Linked DNA regions of Schizosaccharomyces pombe. The gene in region 1 interacts genetically with each later gene. Each region holds a gene or a part of one and is shown in the gene's direction. Other genes may lie near its edges. The genes, in order: SPOM_SPBC8D2.16C, SPOM_SPAC7D4.12C, sod2 and idp1.

Region 1 (4,781 bases):
GACACCATACCTCGCTTGAATATCGCGGGCTTTCTTGTGGACTAGGGTATAGCCATGACGCAAGGCATACTCTGTACGATCAGAAAGCACTTTATCCAGGAAGACAGAGCTGGAGTCAGATCTACTTGAATCATAATGGTCGTCAAAACTAACAATCAACATGACTACGGAATCAGGATCTTGTGGAGATGTTTTCGCCTTAGAAACACCTTTGTATGAAGAGGAATGGGCACTGGGAGAACCAATCGAATTGGAATAAACAGGCATTGAAGACTTTAAAGAATAAAAGCCAAAAAGCAATAAAACGATGGCCAAGAGACCTAAACTTTTTCCTCTACGAGAAAATAAACGAAAGTTGAACATCTTGCAGAATACAAAGTAAAAAAGTGCAAAACAAACAGTTTGCGAGAAAAAATGAGTTGGTTATGCGCGTCTATGGAACAAGATAACGGTTTAAAAGAATAAACCTTAGGGGTTTTTTAAATGTGCAAATAATGTAGAAAAGAAGGTAAGAGAATATCTGTAAATCGAGAAGGTATAAATAGAGAAGAGAAAAAAAGGTATAAAGATCTGGGTCGTAAAGAAAATGGAATATATATGGCCCTTTTTTAAATGCAAATAAATGATCCAACGATATATACGCGAGTATATCCGAAAATTAAAACAGTAAAGATGTTACAGAGGGCGTTTTCACTAAGAAATACGAAAAACCGGATAATGAAAGAAACCTTGCGAGAACACAACGCCTAGCTTTCAAAATGAGCCTTTTTGTCAAGCTATATCGGCGATATTTAAAAAAGAGGAAGATTCTACAATTTAAACAACAATAGATTATAGCTTATCCTGACAACAATCCTTTTACACCGTTTCAAAGACTACGAGTCAAGATGGACTGGTTATTGATATTGAATATGATTTTTACAGAAATCAGGATCCACCCAACCACGTACTAAGAGCAGAGAAACGTTGCTTTTATAATTGGCAGCAACTTGGCTGTATTTGTAGTCTGCGTGTTCGACATTCGAAGGATTTTGATTAACGTGTACGATGCATCCTACCTAACGTACTCTAACGTGTTTTTAGATTTTTTTAGTGATATTGAAATTATACTTTAAACTGTTATAGCGTTATACCCGGTGCTACTCATTATATAGCGAAAATCATAAAAGTAAATAGTAAATAGAGTAAGATTGAAGATGAATTGAATCAGAGTCGATGAACTTCTATTGACTTAAAAAATTATGTATGTAATTAATAAAATATCATCTTGTTTTTTCTACTAACAAATTTTTACAGCGGTTATATACAAGCTTCGGCGTGTATAGTTGGTTTATATAAATTGCAAGCAAAGTGTACACCATTTTTTTTATTATTTCCATATAAAGAAAAAAAAAAAAAAAAAAAAAGGGGATTCTATAGCCCTTTGGTATTTACGAAGACTCATTGATAGTTTAAATCGCACTCATTGAATGGCATTAAACACATTTGTTTGTTTGAATTTTTTTCATTGTTTATGAAGTACAGGATTTTTTTTTTTACCTATCAATAAAAGTATTGATATAAAATATCCCTTTACCTTGATCAATACTTCAAAAAAAATTTAAAATTAGTTTAATTATATTAAATGGACGGTTTTTAGCCTGGTAAATGAAATTCATGCCTTTACTCTTCACCAACTTTTTAAGACGTTAAAATTTTTATAAAAAGCCAAATCCTAATATTCTGTTTCCCAAGACAGCAAAAAGTAAATAAAATACTGCTACTTGGGCCATATTATTACTTCTCATTAATTGCTTACAGAAACTGCTATGGAAAAAGAAAGCGAAATACAAAGCTTACCACCAACGAGACGATATACGATATCTTTAGCATTACCTATTTCAAGTCTAAATGTAGCATACAATTTGCAGCTTAAAACGAGTTTTGTCTGGAAGGTTTGAAAGATTCGTTGTTGTCGCGTATTAACTCAAAATATAGATTTCGAGAATAGTTTCTCTATATGGTATTGACGAAATTATTTTGCTAGAGGACCCTGAATATGTGCAAAACACCCAGGTACATACACTTTCCTCTGATGCTTATTTAAAGGATCCCACAAAATTTCTCACGGACTTATTATGCTATTTCGAAACGCCTTTCTTTATGAGGAAGGAATTGTTTCCACTAAATCCACATCTAAAATATACTAGCTGCTTTCCATTACTTCCCCTCAGAAATGACAAGGCTAGCACAGTGAATATTGAATTCCCATACCGAGAGGGAATCGTTACTCATCCATCTCCGCAAGCAAAGAATAAATATATTATAAATGCTGGACTATCTCACAATGTAATCGTTTCCAGCCCCAGCGTCCTTGCTCCTAGAACAAGGGTCACGGTTCGATTAAAAGCGCAGTCTCCAAACGAAGAAGGCCAGCTTCAAGGTGATATCGTGTCTTTTTCAGCTCCACGAGAAAAAGGTGGTCATTATTGGGGTTACAAGGTGCGGTCATGTCTTTCTTCTCAGCTGTGTAAAAGTTCTCCTTACAAAGGTGGATATGACTTTGTTGTTCAAATCAACAGTCAGACTTCAGCTATTACTTCAAAAGAGTTAGAAGCGAGTTTACCAAGTTCGTTTCGGCATGCTGTTCTTGTTTTACAAGACAATGTCGTACAAAAAGAGCTCGTAGACTCCACTGCCAAAAGTATTTCTTTTAACCCATTCCCAGTTTCTTTTCTAAATGATCCCATTCCTGAAGAGATACTTTTGGCGGCCATGACCCGTTTGTCAGATATGTTGCTGATGCATGGACGACGATAAAGCCTAAATACTTACAAAGGTGAAGCTGTCTTTTTCTTACTTAAATATTATAAAGCTGTCTCGCTAATCAAGGAAAACAAAATCAATTTTGAATATGATAAATTATAAGGATAACTTGGGTATAAAGACGATATTAGAAACTAAGACGAGAATTATTATGATTAAAATTATATCTAAGAGTGTATTGTTGAAATAAAGAATAAAAAAATTTAAAAGATGATTCGAGTCAATGCAAAAAAGGGTAATTCTGTTGAAGACAAACTCCTATCGAGTGTACCTAGATAAGCAGCCATGTTTAAACACTCATAGAAGCAGGGTTTCCTGATCTCTTTTTAATAAGATTCTCCATAAAATATTCGCCAGCCTTATAGCTACTACGAACAAGTGGACCACTAGCCACGTATAAGAATCCTAATTTCTCTGCCACTTCTTTCCAATATTCAAACTTCTTAGGATGTACATACTCTTGCACTTTTAGGTGTCGTTTGGTAGGTCTCATATATTGACCAAAGGTAACGACATCTACATTATGTTCCAGGAGATCCTTAAGAGTTGTTAGAATTTCCGCATCGGTTTCACCTAGACCAAGCATAATACTGGTTTTAGTGATAAGGTGAGGACATGTTTTCTTCACATGTTTTAGCACGCTCAGACTTTGTCGATATGTGGCTCGTCGATCTCGAACAAATGGGGTAAGTTCCTCTACCGTTTCTACATTGTGTGCAAAGACGTCCAAACCAGATTTAGCTACAATCTCAACCAAATCCATTCTTCCACTAAAATCGGGGGTCAAAGCTTCTACCAAGATGTGCGGGGCTTTTTCTTTAATTTTTTGAATCGTTTTTGCTATATGATTGGCACCAAGGTCAGTCAGGTCATCTCTATCGACACTAGTGAGAACAATGTACCCAAGGTTCCATTGTTTGATGGCTTCTGCTGTATTTTCAGGCTCGTTGGGATCTAAAGGACCTGGACGGCGACTGGTCTTTACCGAACAAAAGCGACATCCACGAGTACAAGTATCACCCATAAGCATGATCGTAGCTGTGGCACGAGATTTGTCTTTACCTCCCCAGCATTCTCCAATATTCGGACATTTCGCTTCTTCACAAACCGTATGGAGATGAGATCCCCGCAAATCATGCTTTATTCGGTTAAAATTTGTTCCTAGTGGAACTTTGGTTTTAAGCCATGAAGGCAATCTTTTGTGTATAGAGCCATTTGGTAGCTCTACTTTTCTATCTAACTCGAAAGCTTCGTCAGCAGTCAATGGTTTATCCATGTTCAAGAAATCTGCAAATGATGGTCCTTTCGCCAACTTTTCTGAAAACCCTCCAGATTGAAACCTCACGGAGGCAAACTATGCTATATTAATAAAACTATAAATAAAAGAAAACTCACCCAAAAATTGTTTTTTAATATCGTAGCATTTCGACCTATTTTCAACATTGCTGTGTAGAGGAAGTAAGGACTATTAGACAGTATGGGATTGGATATAAAGTACTAACCTTACTACTACCTATTATCCGTGTTAGCCCATCAATAGAAAACAGATGTTTTAAACGTTATTTTACCTATTAAACAGTCTCCTTCATAATTCGAAGTTTCGTTTTTTTTGTTGAATACGACTCAGTTTGTGGACAATTGTAAGAAAATTCAAAACATTAAACCAAGCTGTTTACCATAGTTTTGGACACTAATCAGCCAAACTACAAGCGTAAAGTAAAGATATAATTGAATATTTTTTTCAAATAAACTCTCAAAATTTTGTGGTCTCACGTACTATGGTAAATTTCTCGTCATAGGGATTCTCCTATTTTTTGAGTGATTTTCAAAACTTTAGCTTCCTATTATGAATATGTATAGTATGTTTCTGCAAGGTCACTTTGATTTCGACTTCGATTTACTCATTTATGAAAGCCCTGTAAAAACAGGCCTAGACAGATTTTCTATGTAACCTTTTAATTTTAGAGACACATATG
Region 2 (5,207 bases), on another chromosome or scaffold:
GTTAACATTTTCAAATTCATTTATACATAAATACTTTTTTAGATGATTAATAAGAGGCGTTTCATAAATAGTATAAGTACTTTGTAAGCCTATTCTAATGGATGTGAATAAACAAAGAGACTATGGATTATGTGAATAGTTATATTACTTTCTTATTCGATAATCAAATTTTAAAGCTCCCAAATGCAAGATTATTGAAGAAATTTTGAAAAAGTTTCTTTAGTTAACATTAGCATGTAAAAGACACATAAACCCTAATTGACTGTAACATAAGAGACCTTTTACTTACGTCTACAGCGATTATTCTACTGGACTTAATAAAAGCAAAATTCGGACGGTCGAAACAACTCATTTAGACGTATGAGTCTATTTATTGTAGGTTAGCTTTTTGAATGAATATTACATATCATTATTTTTCTCTTTCTTTCTCTAACTACTAAAACCTAGGGTACTCATAACATCAAAAACTCAGCAATACAACTTTTAAAGACGAAACTGAAAAATGAATTTTTAAAGGGCGTTAAATGTATTACTAAATATCCCGAAAATGCACATAGCATTTTTAAAGTTCAAGAATATACTGGATACAAGGGAGTGACCTTTATAGTATCTACCAAATGGAATCTAACTGTCGACTCAATTCATAAACTAATTCCTGAAATTAAAAGCTCTCCGAGTGCATGTTTACTTTTAGTAAACCAACCATACCCAGTTATCGAAAAAATAACTGATATTCTTACAAAACATGGGATCACGAATGCAAATCTTTTGGAATTTTCAAAATCGTCTTTGTTGCATCCTTTTAAAAGGAATAGACACCTTCTTTCATTCGTGCCTTATCCTATGACTGCTGAGACATTAGGAGACATCTCGTGGTCATTTTCTCGAAGAGAAAATATGAAATTTGAAAAGGACCAGCAGTATATCTTATCAAAATTTAAAAGTCCACGAAATTTATTGATTCCTTACCCCTCTTTCCTAATTCAAAAGTTCTTGGATATGGCAATCCTTCCTCCTATGGCAGCTTTAAGGATTTTGTTTTATCAGTATTCTAAAGCTAGCACGATGAGCCTTACAGATGACTTTTACAATAAGTATGTGCTGGAGAATTTGAATATAATAAACAATTTACAGATTTTTCTTCATCTTGACTTAGAACCTTTACATATCAAAAGTCTTGCTAAAGCAAGAAAAAGATTTTATGAAACTGACTTGAAAACAACATTTTTAAATGCATTTTCCAGAGACGAGTTGTTGATGTTGGTTAATTATTTTATTTTTCGGGGCACCGAGTTAAAACTTTCTGTTTCCATGAATCTCGCTTTTCGTGACATTCTATTATCATCGGCTTATTTGAATAAAACCAAATAATACTAACGAAAATTACTGGCTTAATGCTGCTTATAATCTTTTTATATAGTATTTTATTTCACGGTCTGAGATTCGTGGCATGAATGCTATAATGCTAGTAACTACCGATGATTATTCATTAAATAAATGACTGTATCCTGTAGAAACAGGATATTATGTTGACAGAGTTTAATGGTCATTTGTAAAAACTAATTAAAGTAATAAGTAAATACATTTTTAATATAGATAAGTGGCAGAATAAAGTGAGGGAAGCTTTGTCGTTTAAGTTGTATATTTTTTTTTAAAGCTGGGCAGTAAATATATTTCATATTTAATGAATTTGCGTCGCCGCCGACAGCATCAGAAACCATCAATTTTTTATTATACGGCCGGAGAATTTTAAAAGAATAAATATAAAATACTGATTACTCCCTAAAGCTGGCTCTAGACACGAACGACATTAAGGCGAACCACGTGGAATTTTTGGTATAGAGGCGTAAAGTGTTCACTAACCACCTAGCATAAACCCACTTAGGAGTGTCAATTGAAAACTGTAGTGCTTCAACTAGTGAATTGCAATTGTTTTAAATTATTTTAAAACAATTGATCATATTTGTGATGATTCATTGAATGAAGTAAATTAGATTTTTTATGGGCGTGTGTTGATTGTTGCGATTAACATCAGCGACACGAATATCTTCAAATTTTATTATCATTTTAGAAAAGAAAAGTTATTTTTTAGAAAAATAAAAAACAATGGACGGAAATCGTAGAGTGCGTTTCAATACCGATAGACGACCTTACCTCTCTCCCTTACAAACATCTTTTCCGAGTTCCACTTCGTTTCAGACCCCTACATTTTTAATAGAAGAAGATGATGAAGATACAGAGGATGATGATGGACCACAGGTTCTTCCTGTTCATAGGGCGCCTTCTCCTGCTGCTTTTCGCAAAAGAGGCTCTATAACTTCCATGGATCAATATTTAGTAAACATGCCGGCTGTTCCAAGTCCTACCGCATCAAAAGTAGGCCTATTGGATGCTAGGAATACAGACGTTGAAAGCTATGCAGCTAGCTATAAAACCCAAAGTAGTTCAAATTCCGTCAATAGCTTACCAATGCGTAGGCCTACTCTGGATAGAAGCTACTCAGCACCTATGATCGCTGCTAAAAATTTACAGAGCGATCCGGAAAAAATGTCTAATGTCGAATCAACTAATGAACTACCCTCTACTACAACAGAAGCGTACAAGCTTGTTGCTGCTCACACGGCAGCTCGATTAGAGCATATGAGGCTAAACGCTTTGAAGGCCGCTAATGATGAAGGAGAAGATGTTAAAGATAACGAACAAGATGACAATATAGATGAATCTGATCCATTTGCTAATCCTAAGGCTTCTTATCGTGGCGGCGTATTGTCAAATTTGCTGAAGTTGTATACAAATTCTAATACAGTTACATCCAGTAGGATTTCTTTGAAGCACACTGATCCTACAAAATGGCAAAAACACGCTAAAAGGACTGCTTCTAGTAATTCACTTACAGACCTTTTGCACGCATCAAATCAGACTTTTATGGCGCCTGCTTCTGGCTTGCAGTCTACGGAGGAAATTCCTCAATTCTCTAAAACAGGTCATTCTCGTGGTAGAAAATTTAATTTTCACCATCACAGTAGGAAGAATTCTGGTTTGAACGAAGAATATAAAATCACTATTCATTTGGCTGACATTTTACAACGCCAAAAATATATTTTAAAACTATGCCGTGCTTTAATGGTATATGGTGCTCCTAGTCATCGTTTAGAAGAACATATGGCTTCTGCAGCAAAGGTTCTCGAAATAGAGGGACAATTTTTGTACATTCCTGGATGTATGATAGTGTCATTTGGTGATGTTAACACTCATACTTCTGATATGCACATTGTTCGTGTAAATCAAACAATTGATCTTGGGCGTTTGAAGTTGGTCCATGACATATATAAAGCTGTTTTGCACGACCGTATGGGTGTTGAGGAGGCAATTAGAGGTTTAGATGAAATTTTTAAATCTCCTCCTTATTTTAGAACTTGGATACTTGTTGTTTTTTATGGTTTTGCTAGTGCCACTATTCTGCCGATGTCTTTTCAAGGCGGATGGATTGATTTGCCTATTGCATTTATATTAGGTTGCCTCGTAGGGATTCTTCAGCACTATATCGCTCCTCGTTCAACCATGTATAATAGTCTTTTTGAGGTGACTGGCTCAATTATTACATCTTTTCTAAGTAGAGCTTTTGGTAGCATTCGGTATTCTGGTGGTCGTCGATTCTGTTTTTCTGCGCTTGCGGAGGGCGCGATTGTGTTAATTCTTCCAGGTTATATCGTACTTTGTGGTTCGCTGGAGCTACAAAGTAAAAATATTGTGGCAGGAGGAGTTCGAATGTTTTATGCCATCATTTATTCTTTATTTTTGAGTTTCGGTATATCAATTGGGGCAGCTCTTTATGGTTGGATGGATCATAATGCCACTGACTCAACTTCATGTCCGGTATCTACTCAAATGGATGATAAATGGAAAATTTTGTTTGTTCCCTTGTTTACTTTGTGTCTTTTAATTGTAAATCAGGCAAGGCCCTCTCAATGGCCTGTTTCGATTTTCATATCTTGTGCAGGCTATGTCGTTAATTATTTCACCGCCAAGCATTTCGGATCAAATCCGATTGCGAATGCAATTGGTTCTTTTGCGATTGGTTGTTTGGGTAATATATATTCACGTTTAGGTCGAGGAGTTGCGTTCGCTGCTGTATTGCCTGCTATATTTGTTCAAGTCCCCTCTGGTTTGGCTGCTCAAGGTGGTATTTCTTCTGGCATTGAAGTTGCTACTTCTTTAACGAACAATACTTACAACACCTCAAGTTCTTCTACTTTGGATGTTAATTCTTTAAAATTCGGTTTGGTTATGGTTCAAATTGCTATCGGAATTTCTGTTGGCCTATTTGCGTCTGCATTGGTAGTGTATCCTTTCGGAAAACGACGATCTGGCTTATTTAGTTTTTGACAATATTCGTTTTTCAATTTTTTCAAAAATTCACATTTTTATAAAGCTTCCTCTTTACTGGTTCTAGAAAATCCGGAATTTTTTTCTTTAAAAAATATCAAAATTTAAATCTATTTTGATCTTTATGGCTTAAGTTATGCCGTACTGAGACGTCGGATATTATTTATTAATCAACTTCACTTGATTTTTTATTATTTATTAGTATTTCCTAGCATATAGAGTATCATTTTCTCTGATTATTAAAAAAATTAATCAATTTATTACAAAGATTTAGCAGAGCTTATTGTAAAGATTATATAGAGCATGAGTACAACTTCTCGTAAATAATTCTGATATATAATTTATGCTGTATTCGTGATTTGCTGATGTTTTGAATAACTAGACTGCGTTTTGTATATTAAAAGACTTTATTGACGCCGCTTGAAAATATTAATATTTGTAGGAAAGCATAAAAAAATCATGAGTTTATTGAGATATGTAAATAACGGTAAAAACTTCCTAATGTATCTTAATAATTCCTACTAACAAGCTATTATTAAGTTCAATAATGCTAAACTAAAAATATCTTAGTTAAGGAAACTTGACCTACTATCACCTCATCCCATGGTAAGTAATGTTTACCCTGACTCTTACCTTCTTTCCAAGCTCATATTATGAATGAAGACAAATTGGAGTCCAAATGGTTATTTTCATTAACTGAATCACAAAAATTGTACCTTTTAATATCTCTAATAATTAATAAGAAATTACCTGAAGCTAAATTTGTTTACAAGTTACTGGATTACACTAAAGGCAATTGGCTTTCACTTTTACTTCGATTC
Region 3 (3,707 bases), on another chromosome or scaffold:
TAAATTATATTTTGACACATAGAAATTAAAAAAAAATTTAATAGTAAATCTGCGAAGCTTTATAATTTATTGTCACAACGTGTTTTTACAATTACCTTTTTAGCAAAGGCTCTAAAAAATCAGGAAAGTACTTTTATATTATTTCATTATGTTTCTGTACAAAACAAAAGTATTATGATCCGAGAAATACTAATTTGTAGTAGGTAAACAAAGAGCATTATACTGAATAATAGAATACGAAGCTTGGACAGAGAACAGTTATTAATACTATCCATAATTTTTTAATTTCCCTGTTTTCCTAGTTTGTAGATTTGTTAGCGAGTAATATTTCATGCTTAAAATAAGTTGATTAAGAATCTGATTCGGGTCTACAGTTTGAAAAAGACAGTATATCTTTTCAGAATGATTATGACGATATAGTTTTATCGAGTTTGTGGAAATTACTGTTGAAATAATTAAAGATGTATGAATTAATTAATTACTTAACCAAAGGACGGTATGTAAATCTAAAAACAATGTTTGGGGTTTCAAAACACTTGCTTATTTATTATAAGAAAATGCTGAGATTCAAAAATTTTTAGTAAGAAGAAAAGGACTACATTAATTGCGGTTTGCAACTGTTTTGTCATATGGTAACTTAGTAAATTTTTTTGTTTTTGATGAAAAGGTAAATAAATACCCATCATCGCACCTACTAACCTACATACTCCATTGTAATTGAATAGCTCTTTAAAAATGAATAATTTCAATGACAGCATTTGAACTTCCTAACGATTACATTGTTTAATGCATCAATATCGTTAATCAATAATCATTGATATTTGCCAATTGATTAGGAAAGAACAAATTATTTTATGCAATCATGATCTTTATTCCTTAAAAAAAAAAAAAAAAAAAAATTGGGAAATACACATTGTAGCTATACTTGCTAGAACGCGAATTATACTTTGAGTTACACTTTGTCTCACCCAAAATAAAGAAAAAGAAAAAGAAGTTTCATGCACCATTAATAAAAAAAAACACGATAAAAATTACACAAAAAATTTATACAAGCAATTAACCTAAAAAATAAAAAAACACAATATAAAATACATGAAAAAAATATATGTATAATTAACTACTAAAATTAGCCGATGCTTATTTCTGGTTCAAAAAGCGAATTGCGTAACTCATGAATATCAATCAATTTTTGTATAGAAAGTTGAAAATATTAAACTTCAAGTACAGTTTTATTAACTGTACAAATATTTGCCGAGTTACTTCCTCGTTATTACCGCTTCGCTGCACTACTTATCTATTTTGCAAAGGCAATTCCTTCAACTCTGATTTCGATACCCTTTAACTAGTAGAGCCGCTGTTTCTTTTTTCATTGTGTGCTTATAAGGGTAATTTGTTGCAGGACGGATTTTTCAATTGCATCAATACTCAATCGCATCAGAAGTCAATTTGAAAAAATAAAATATTTACAATGTACTAATCACACTACTAGTTGCACTCGCCGAATTCTTGATTCGGTATTGTAAAATCATTTCTAACAATTCAATGTAAAGAAGTTGCCCTTTTAAACTTCAGTAACATTTGTTGAGTTGTCATTTCTATAAGTTCAAGTACCATTAATTGCTTGCACTTAACAAAACCTTCCAAAATTTTTTGCTTGATAATAATGTCGTAGTAAATATTATTACATTGCTATAATCTAGTAACCTAGAGTAATGAAGATTGCTAAATGAATGCAGAGAATTTTGAGAAGTTGGTGAAATGAAGATACGTTGAACTTCACATTCTACTCTATAAAACTAGTTCTTAATGGTTCATTAACAAGTTGCACAATTTGTTGTTTACCACATTTTTGGTGTAATATTTCGGAAATGACTTTCTCCAGACATTTCATAGGCCAGACGTAATTTCGAGAATTTATATAGGCTCCTTTCACCCTACTCCATACTTTCCCTCTACCATATACGATTTGTTCAATCAAACCGTACAATTTAGTTATAAGTTAAGGTATTTAACAAAGAAAACATTTCGGTTTACTTTGTTCGTTGGTCACTTTGGTTGCTATTACTTTTTTACTTTTGATCTCATTTTAACGATGCTTCGCTTTTTGTCTAAGAACTCTGTAGCCGCTATTAGGAACGTCTCAATTGCCAGGGGAGTTCATACTAAGGCTACTCTTCCCCCTTTACCTTATGCTTACAATGTATGCAATAAATAGTTGTAAAAGCAATTGCTCATGTTGATGGGTTCTGAAGCAATCATAAGTTTTGGATGTTTCCCACTGTCTAGTTAATTTGTTAATGATGATTACTAACTATAGCTTTAGGCACTTGAACCTGCTTTGTCGGAAACGATTATGAAGTTACATCATGACAAGCATCACCAAACATATGTTAACAACTTGAATGCCGCTCAGGAGAAGCTGGCCGATCCCAACCTCGATTTGGAGGGAGAGGTTGCCCTTCAAGCTGCTATTAAATTCAATGGCGGTGGTCACATCAATCATTCTCTCTTTTGGAAGATTTTAGCACCTCAAAAGGAAGGTGGTGGCAAACCCGTCACCTCTGGATCTTTACATAAGGCTATAACCTCTAAATGGGGTTCTTTGGAGGATTTCCAGAAGGAAATGAATGCCGCCTTAGCTAGCATCCAAGGTAGTGGTTGGGCATGGCTAATCGTGGATAAAGACGGTAGTCTCCGTATTACTACTACTGCTAACCAAGACACGATTGTCAAGTCCAAGCCCATTATTGGAATTGATGCTTGGGAACATGCCTACTATCCTCAATACGAGAATCGTAAGGCCGAATACTTTAAAGCTATTTGGAATGTGATTAATTGGAAAGAGGCCGAGTCTCGTTATTCCAACCGTTAAGTCCTTAAACATGTTATGCTCGATTACGAAAACACCCTGCTCATCTATCTATCCAGCTAACAAAGTATCAATTACCAGGAAAGTGTGATGTTTTGTTATTTTATTTTTGTGTTTCTTTTTGGCAGTAGCTTTGAATTTTCAAATTCATAGATTTGATAAGTTTCTAGTCTACTACCTTTGATCAATGAATGAACTAAATTTTACATTGAAATTTCCTGAAATAAAGCTATTAGACAATACCAAATTTTTTCGTTAACGATTACTACAGATCCATATTTACGAATAAAGTAAAAAATAAAAGACTAGAAACCTTCACCACTCACAGGTTTGCGCAATCATTGACAGTAAACAATTAGCTTATGATAAATGGGACAAAACAATTGCTATGTAGGAAATGTAAATAATTCATGGTAAGAAATGATGTTCAAAATTAGCAAAATTTTAAACAGGAAAGAACGAAGATAAGAAATGTGTTGTTTTGTGATCGCTTGATTAAAGAACAGTTTAATAGTCGGCTGTTTGCTCCAATAACAATTCTACAGCTCTCTGCACATCGTTAGTTTGAGATAAGGCCTGGATAGCTTGAGCTCTAGAAGTTTGCATAATCGTTTGGACAGTGTTTATATCCTCTTCTCTAATATTTCCTAATTCAGGACGTTCTGATCGGCCGCTTAACATATCGTACAACTGAGAAGCCGGTCCTGTTGGGAGAACAGAAGATGACGAGGTTCGACCAAGGGGAGGATGTGATATTTGCTGACGATTACGGAACGATGCTGCAGTATTGGATGAAGAAGCGATAGCTGTTGCTCGAGCGTTCTGTCGAGTCGGAGAA
Region 4 (4,158 bases), on another chromosome or scaffold:
GACTTTACTTTTCCTTATATATCTCAACCCTGGAAGTTTTTTGAATCTGATTTCGTTCATATTGTTCCGGTTAGCCCAAGTATTCCTGAATGGACGTTTCAGCCCACTCCTCAGCAAAATGAGCTACCTTCCTTCAAGAGATTTTTTGAGCTTTTTAATAACTTTGAAATTCGCACGACTCCTGACGCTTCCGACGTTGCAGCCAGCATATTTCGTGATATAAGTGTGGATGTTATAAACCATTTGGAATTTAACCGAGTTGAGGCTGCTCAAGTTCTTACAGATTTAGATGTTTATTTTACCTACAAAACTTTTGCTCTTCGTGGTACTCCAGTAAATGAATTACCAAATTTAGATCCATCGGAATCACGTTGGAAAGCAGAAGATATCATAGTTGAAGCTGTTTTGGGTGAGCTTCTTGGTTCACAGAATACTACGTATAAACCTGTCTATTATCATTCGCTTTTGATTGAATGCTGCCGTATCGCTCCTAAAATTTTGGCTCCAACTTTTGGAAGGGTCATTCGGCTAATGTATACCATGTCTTCTGATTTACCTTTACAAACACTTGATCGATTTATTGACTGGTTTTCACATCACCTTAGTAATTTCAACTTTCACTGGAAGTGGAATGAGTGGATTCCTGACGTTGAGCTGGACGATCTTCATCCAAAAAAAGTTTTTATGCGGGAAACTATTACTAGGGAACTTATTTTAAGCTATTACACAAGAATTTCTGACTCACTCCCTGAAGAGTTACGTTGTTTGCTTGGCGAACAACCGTCGGGTCCCAATTTCGTGTACGAAAATGAGACTCATCCGCTATATCAACAGTCAAGTCAAATTATCGAAGCATTGAGATTACATAAACCGTTAGAAGAACTTGACATTATTTTGCAGAGCGAGGAGATTCAAAACTCCGAGACATCTGCTGTCCGATTAGTTATGTCTTGTGCTTATAGCTTGGGTTCGAGATCGTTTTCGCACGCATTGAACGTGTTCGAGAAACATCTTAATACATTGAAACATTTTTCTCGAAAATCATTAGATTCCGAAATAGAGGTTGTTGATGAACTTTTTTCATTTTGGAAATTACAACCGTTCAACGCAGTTATGTGGCTAGATAAAATGCTGAACTACTCTATAATTAGTATTACCTCTATTATTGAGTGGTTGATCAAGCAAGACGTGACTATATGGTCTCGTAGTTATACGTGGTCACTTGTTAACACCACTTTTAATAAATTAGCAGCTAGATTGCGGCGTTCGGTTTCTAACAAAGAAGACTCTTCGCTAATCAATGAAGCGAATGAGGAAAAGGAAATTGTCACGAATTTACTATTGTCAGCTTTGCGCGCCCTTATTTCCGAAAATGCTGAAAATATATGGGTATCTCATTGGCTTAACCTTATGTTAAAATATGTGGAATCAAATTTCCTCTCTGTTAAAAAGGACACGATAGAAGAAGCAAACGAGCCTGTTCAAGAAAATACCAGTGAGGAACAGGAAGACACAAAAATGCAACCCGTCGACGCAGTAGATGAGCAGCCATCAGAAAATAATCAAACAGCAGCTGATGCAACTAATGAGGAAAAATAAAGAAAGTAGTCTATAACAAAAATGAAGAAAGTGTTGTTTTGATATCAAAAAGATTAAACTGAAGAACTCGACTGGTAATCACGACGTTGTCAATCTGCTACAACGTTTGAACGTGGATATAGCTTATATTAAATATTTAATTATAACGTCCCATTTTCATAAGCACTTGTAGGACGCTGCTGCACTTCACAGTTAAGTTACTAGAAACGAAGATTTCAATTTTATAGGTAACAGGGTTATCAGATCTATCAGAGGTAACGGATATCTAAAGATAAGATATTTTACGATCGACTTGTCGGTTCTAGTTTTGCGTAGTGTCATACTATGTGAGCGAATGGATAAGCGAAATGTTCACTCACATCTCCGATATCAGAAGTGACTAAATCTTTTCTCAGTTTAACGAAAGGATTGCTAAAATGTAACAAAATCACTACTGCCATCAGTAACTTACACTTAACCAACCACTTTGTGCTATTGTAAGAAGTAGTGAGGAACAGAGGCAGTTTGGTGGATAGAACTAGGATTTAAGGGACATTTGCACAGCTACTCCTTCTCAACTTAGCTTCGTCGAATATTTCATTTACTTTAAAGGATAAAAAAACTGACACAATATGTTGGAAGTACGTGCTGCCGTAAAGGCACCTTTCAAGTTGGCTGCCGCAGGCCGTGGTTTCATGAATATGCGTATGGCTTCAAGCAAATCTTTTCAAAAGATCACTGTTAAAAACCCAGTCGTTGAAATGGATGGTGATGAGATGACGAGAGTGATTTGGAAGATCATTCGTGAAAAGTTGGTTCTCCCATATATGGACATTAAATTGGATTATTATGACCTTGGAATCGAAGCTCGCGATAAGACAAACGACCAAATTACTGTGGATGCAGCCAAAGCTATCCTCAAAAATGATGTCGGTATCAAATGTGCCACCATTACTCCTGATGAGGCTCGTGTGAAAGAGTATAACCTCAAGAAGATGTGGAAGTCTCCCAATGGTACCATTCGTAACATTTTGAATGGTACAGTATTTCGGGAGCCCATTTTAATCAAAAACATTCCCAAGTATATTCCTGGATGGACGAACCCTATTTGTATCGGGCGTCATGCCTTTGGAGATCAATACAAGTCAACGGACTTGGTAGCTTCAGGCCCCGGTAAGTTGGAACTTTCATTCACCCCTAAAGGTAATCCTTCTGCTAAAGAAACATACAATGTTTACGAGTTCAACGGTAGTGGTGTAGCTATGTCTATGTACAACACTGACGACTCTATTCGTGGATTTGCTCACAGTTCTTTCCAAATGGCTTTGCAAAAGAAAATGCCACTTTATCTTTCCACTAAGAATACAATTTTGAAAAAATATGATGGTAGATTTAAGGATACATTCCAAGAAGTATATGAATCTGATTACAAGCAAAAGTTTGAGGAACTAGGTTTATGGTATCAACATCGTCTAATTGATGACATGGTAGCCCAAGCTATTAAGTCCAATGGTGGTTTTGTTTGGGCATGCAAAAATTACGATGGTGATGTTATGTCGGATGTGGTTGCCCAAGCTTATGGATCCTTAGGCCTAATGACTTCTGTCCTCATTCATCCCAACGGTCGCACTTTTGAGAGTGAGGCTGCTCATGGTACTGTACAGCGTCACTACATGCAATACTTGAAAGGTAAGAAGACTTCAACCAACAGTATTGCCTCTATCTTTGCCTGGACTCGTGGTCTTGCCCATCGTGGTCGTTTAGATGGCAACGAACGTTTAGTTAAGTTTGCCAACGCCCTCGAGCATGCTTGTGTTCGATGCGTTGAGAAGGGTATTATGACAAAGGATCTTTACCTTCTCAGCAAGTCTCCCAATGGTTATGTTGATACATTCGAGTTTTTGGATGCCGTCAAGTCCGAGCTCGATTCGGAATTGGTCAACATTGCCTAATTTTAGTGTTAGACCTGTTGATTAGTGAGTCTTTGAAGTTTAAGTTCTGGATTATTCAATCATGTTTTTACTAGGATACTTTTTGTTAAAACAATTATTTTGAAGTGTGTGCATTTATATTATTTTACAATTAACAGTGGAGTGTAGGAAGTCATTTCTATTAATCATGAAATTTTGTAAATTTTTTATGCATATTCAGACCATGACACTATTATCTAATTTTTTTCAATTTTTTCCCCTTAAACGTAAAGGAAAAAGCTGAATGATTATTCATTTATTCATTGAAATCTTTCGGATTTCTTGCCGTTTATTGACTACAAATGTATCTTGATTCTTTAAAGCTTTGCTTCAAACCCACTTAAACATATTTATCTAGCAATTGATTGAGCCATAACAATTTAGGTAAAGGTCTAATATTAAAATTCAACAACTGAGCTAATAAACTAAACAATTGATGGACGTAAACCCCAACTACATTAAATGTATATCACTATGGAAATGCTTTCTATTATGTTCGAATACAATGAAGTTGTAACAAATATCATTTTAAAAACTGCTACTACTTAATTACTTGTAATTTCTGTTAAACTGATAAATAAAGTAAGCCTTTGTTCTTAGCTCCAAATGT

The links.
Region 2: mutations in SPOM_SPBC8D2.16C (region 1) and SPOM_SPAC7D4.12C together harm fitness less than expected from each alone (positive genetic interaction), as found in Schizosaccharomyces pombe (one large-scale study listed by BioGRID).
Region 3: mutations in SPOM_SPBC8D2.16C (region 1) and sod2 together harm fitness more than expected from each alone (negative genetic interaction), as found in Schizosaccharomyces pombe (one large-scale study listed by BioGRID).
Region 4: mutations in SPOM_SPBC8D2.16C (region 1) and idp1 together harm fitness more than expected from each alone (negative genetic interaction), as found in Schizosaccharomyces pombe (one large-scale study listed by BioGRID).

The regions. Positions count from the first base shown.
Region 1 is NC_003423.3:1,385,765-1,390,545, reverse strand, and holds SPOM_SPBC8D2.16C (uncharacterized protein), read left to right. Parts: upstream 1-1,664; 5' UTR 1,665-1,808; coding exon 1,809-1,934; exon of another isoform or gene 1,935-1,977; coding exon 1,978-2,799; 3' UTR 2,800-3,094; coding exon of another isoform or gene 3,095-4,159; 3' UTR 4,160-4,200; downstream 4,201-4,781. Other genes in the region: alpha-1,2-galactosyltransferase Gmh4, read right to left, coding at 1-363; lipoic acid synthetase Lip5, read right to left, coding at 3,095-4,159, 4,201-4,248.
Region 2 is NC_003424.3:2,612,936-2,618,142, forward strand, and holds SPOM_SPAC7D4.12C (uncharacterized protein), read left to right. Parts: upstream 1-1,871; 5' UTR 1,872-2,106; coding exon 2,107-4,386; 3' UTR 4,387-4,660; downstream 4,661-5,207. Other genes in the region: SPOM_SPAC7D4.13C (uncharacterized protein), read left to right, coding at 361-375, 448-1,371; secretory pathway protein Sec39, read left to right, coding at 5,040-5,207.
Region 3 is NC_003424.3:3,183,378-3,187,084, forward strand, and holds sod2 (manganese superoxide dismutase), read left to right. Parts: upstream 1-1,954; 5' UTR 1,955-2,092; coding exon 2,093-2,200; exon of another isoform or gene 2,201-2,323; coding exon 2,324-2,872; 3' UTR 2,873-3,207; downstream 3,208-3,707. Other genes in the region: Golgi Dsc E3 ligase complex transmembrane subunit, C-terminal UBA domain Dsc2, read right to left, coding at 3,377-3,707. UniProt on the Schizosaccharomyces pombe protein: Destroys superoxide anion radicals which are normally produced within the cells and which are toxic to biological systems.
Region 4 is NC_003424.3:3,229,326-3,233,483, forward strand, and holds idp1 (isocitrate dehydrogenase Idp1), read left to right. Parts: upstream 1-2,054; 5' UTR 2,055-2,210; coding exon 2,211-3,530; 3' UTR 3,531-3,651; downstream 3,652-4,158. Other genes in the region: cbc1 (nuclear cap-binding complex large subunit), read left to right, coding at 1-1,599.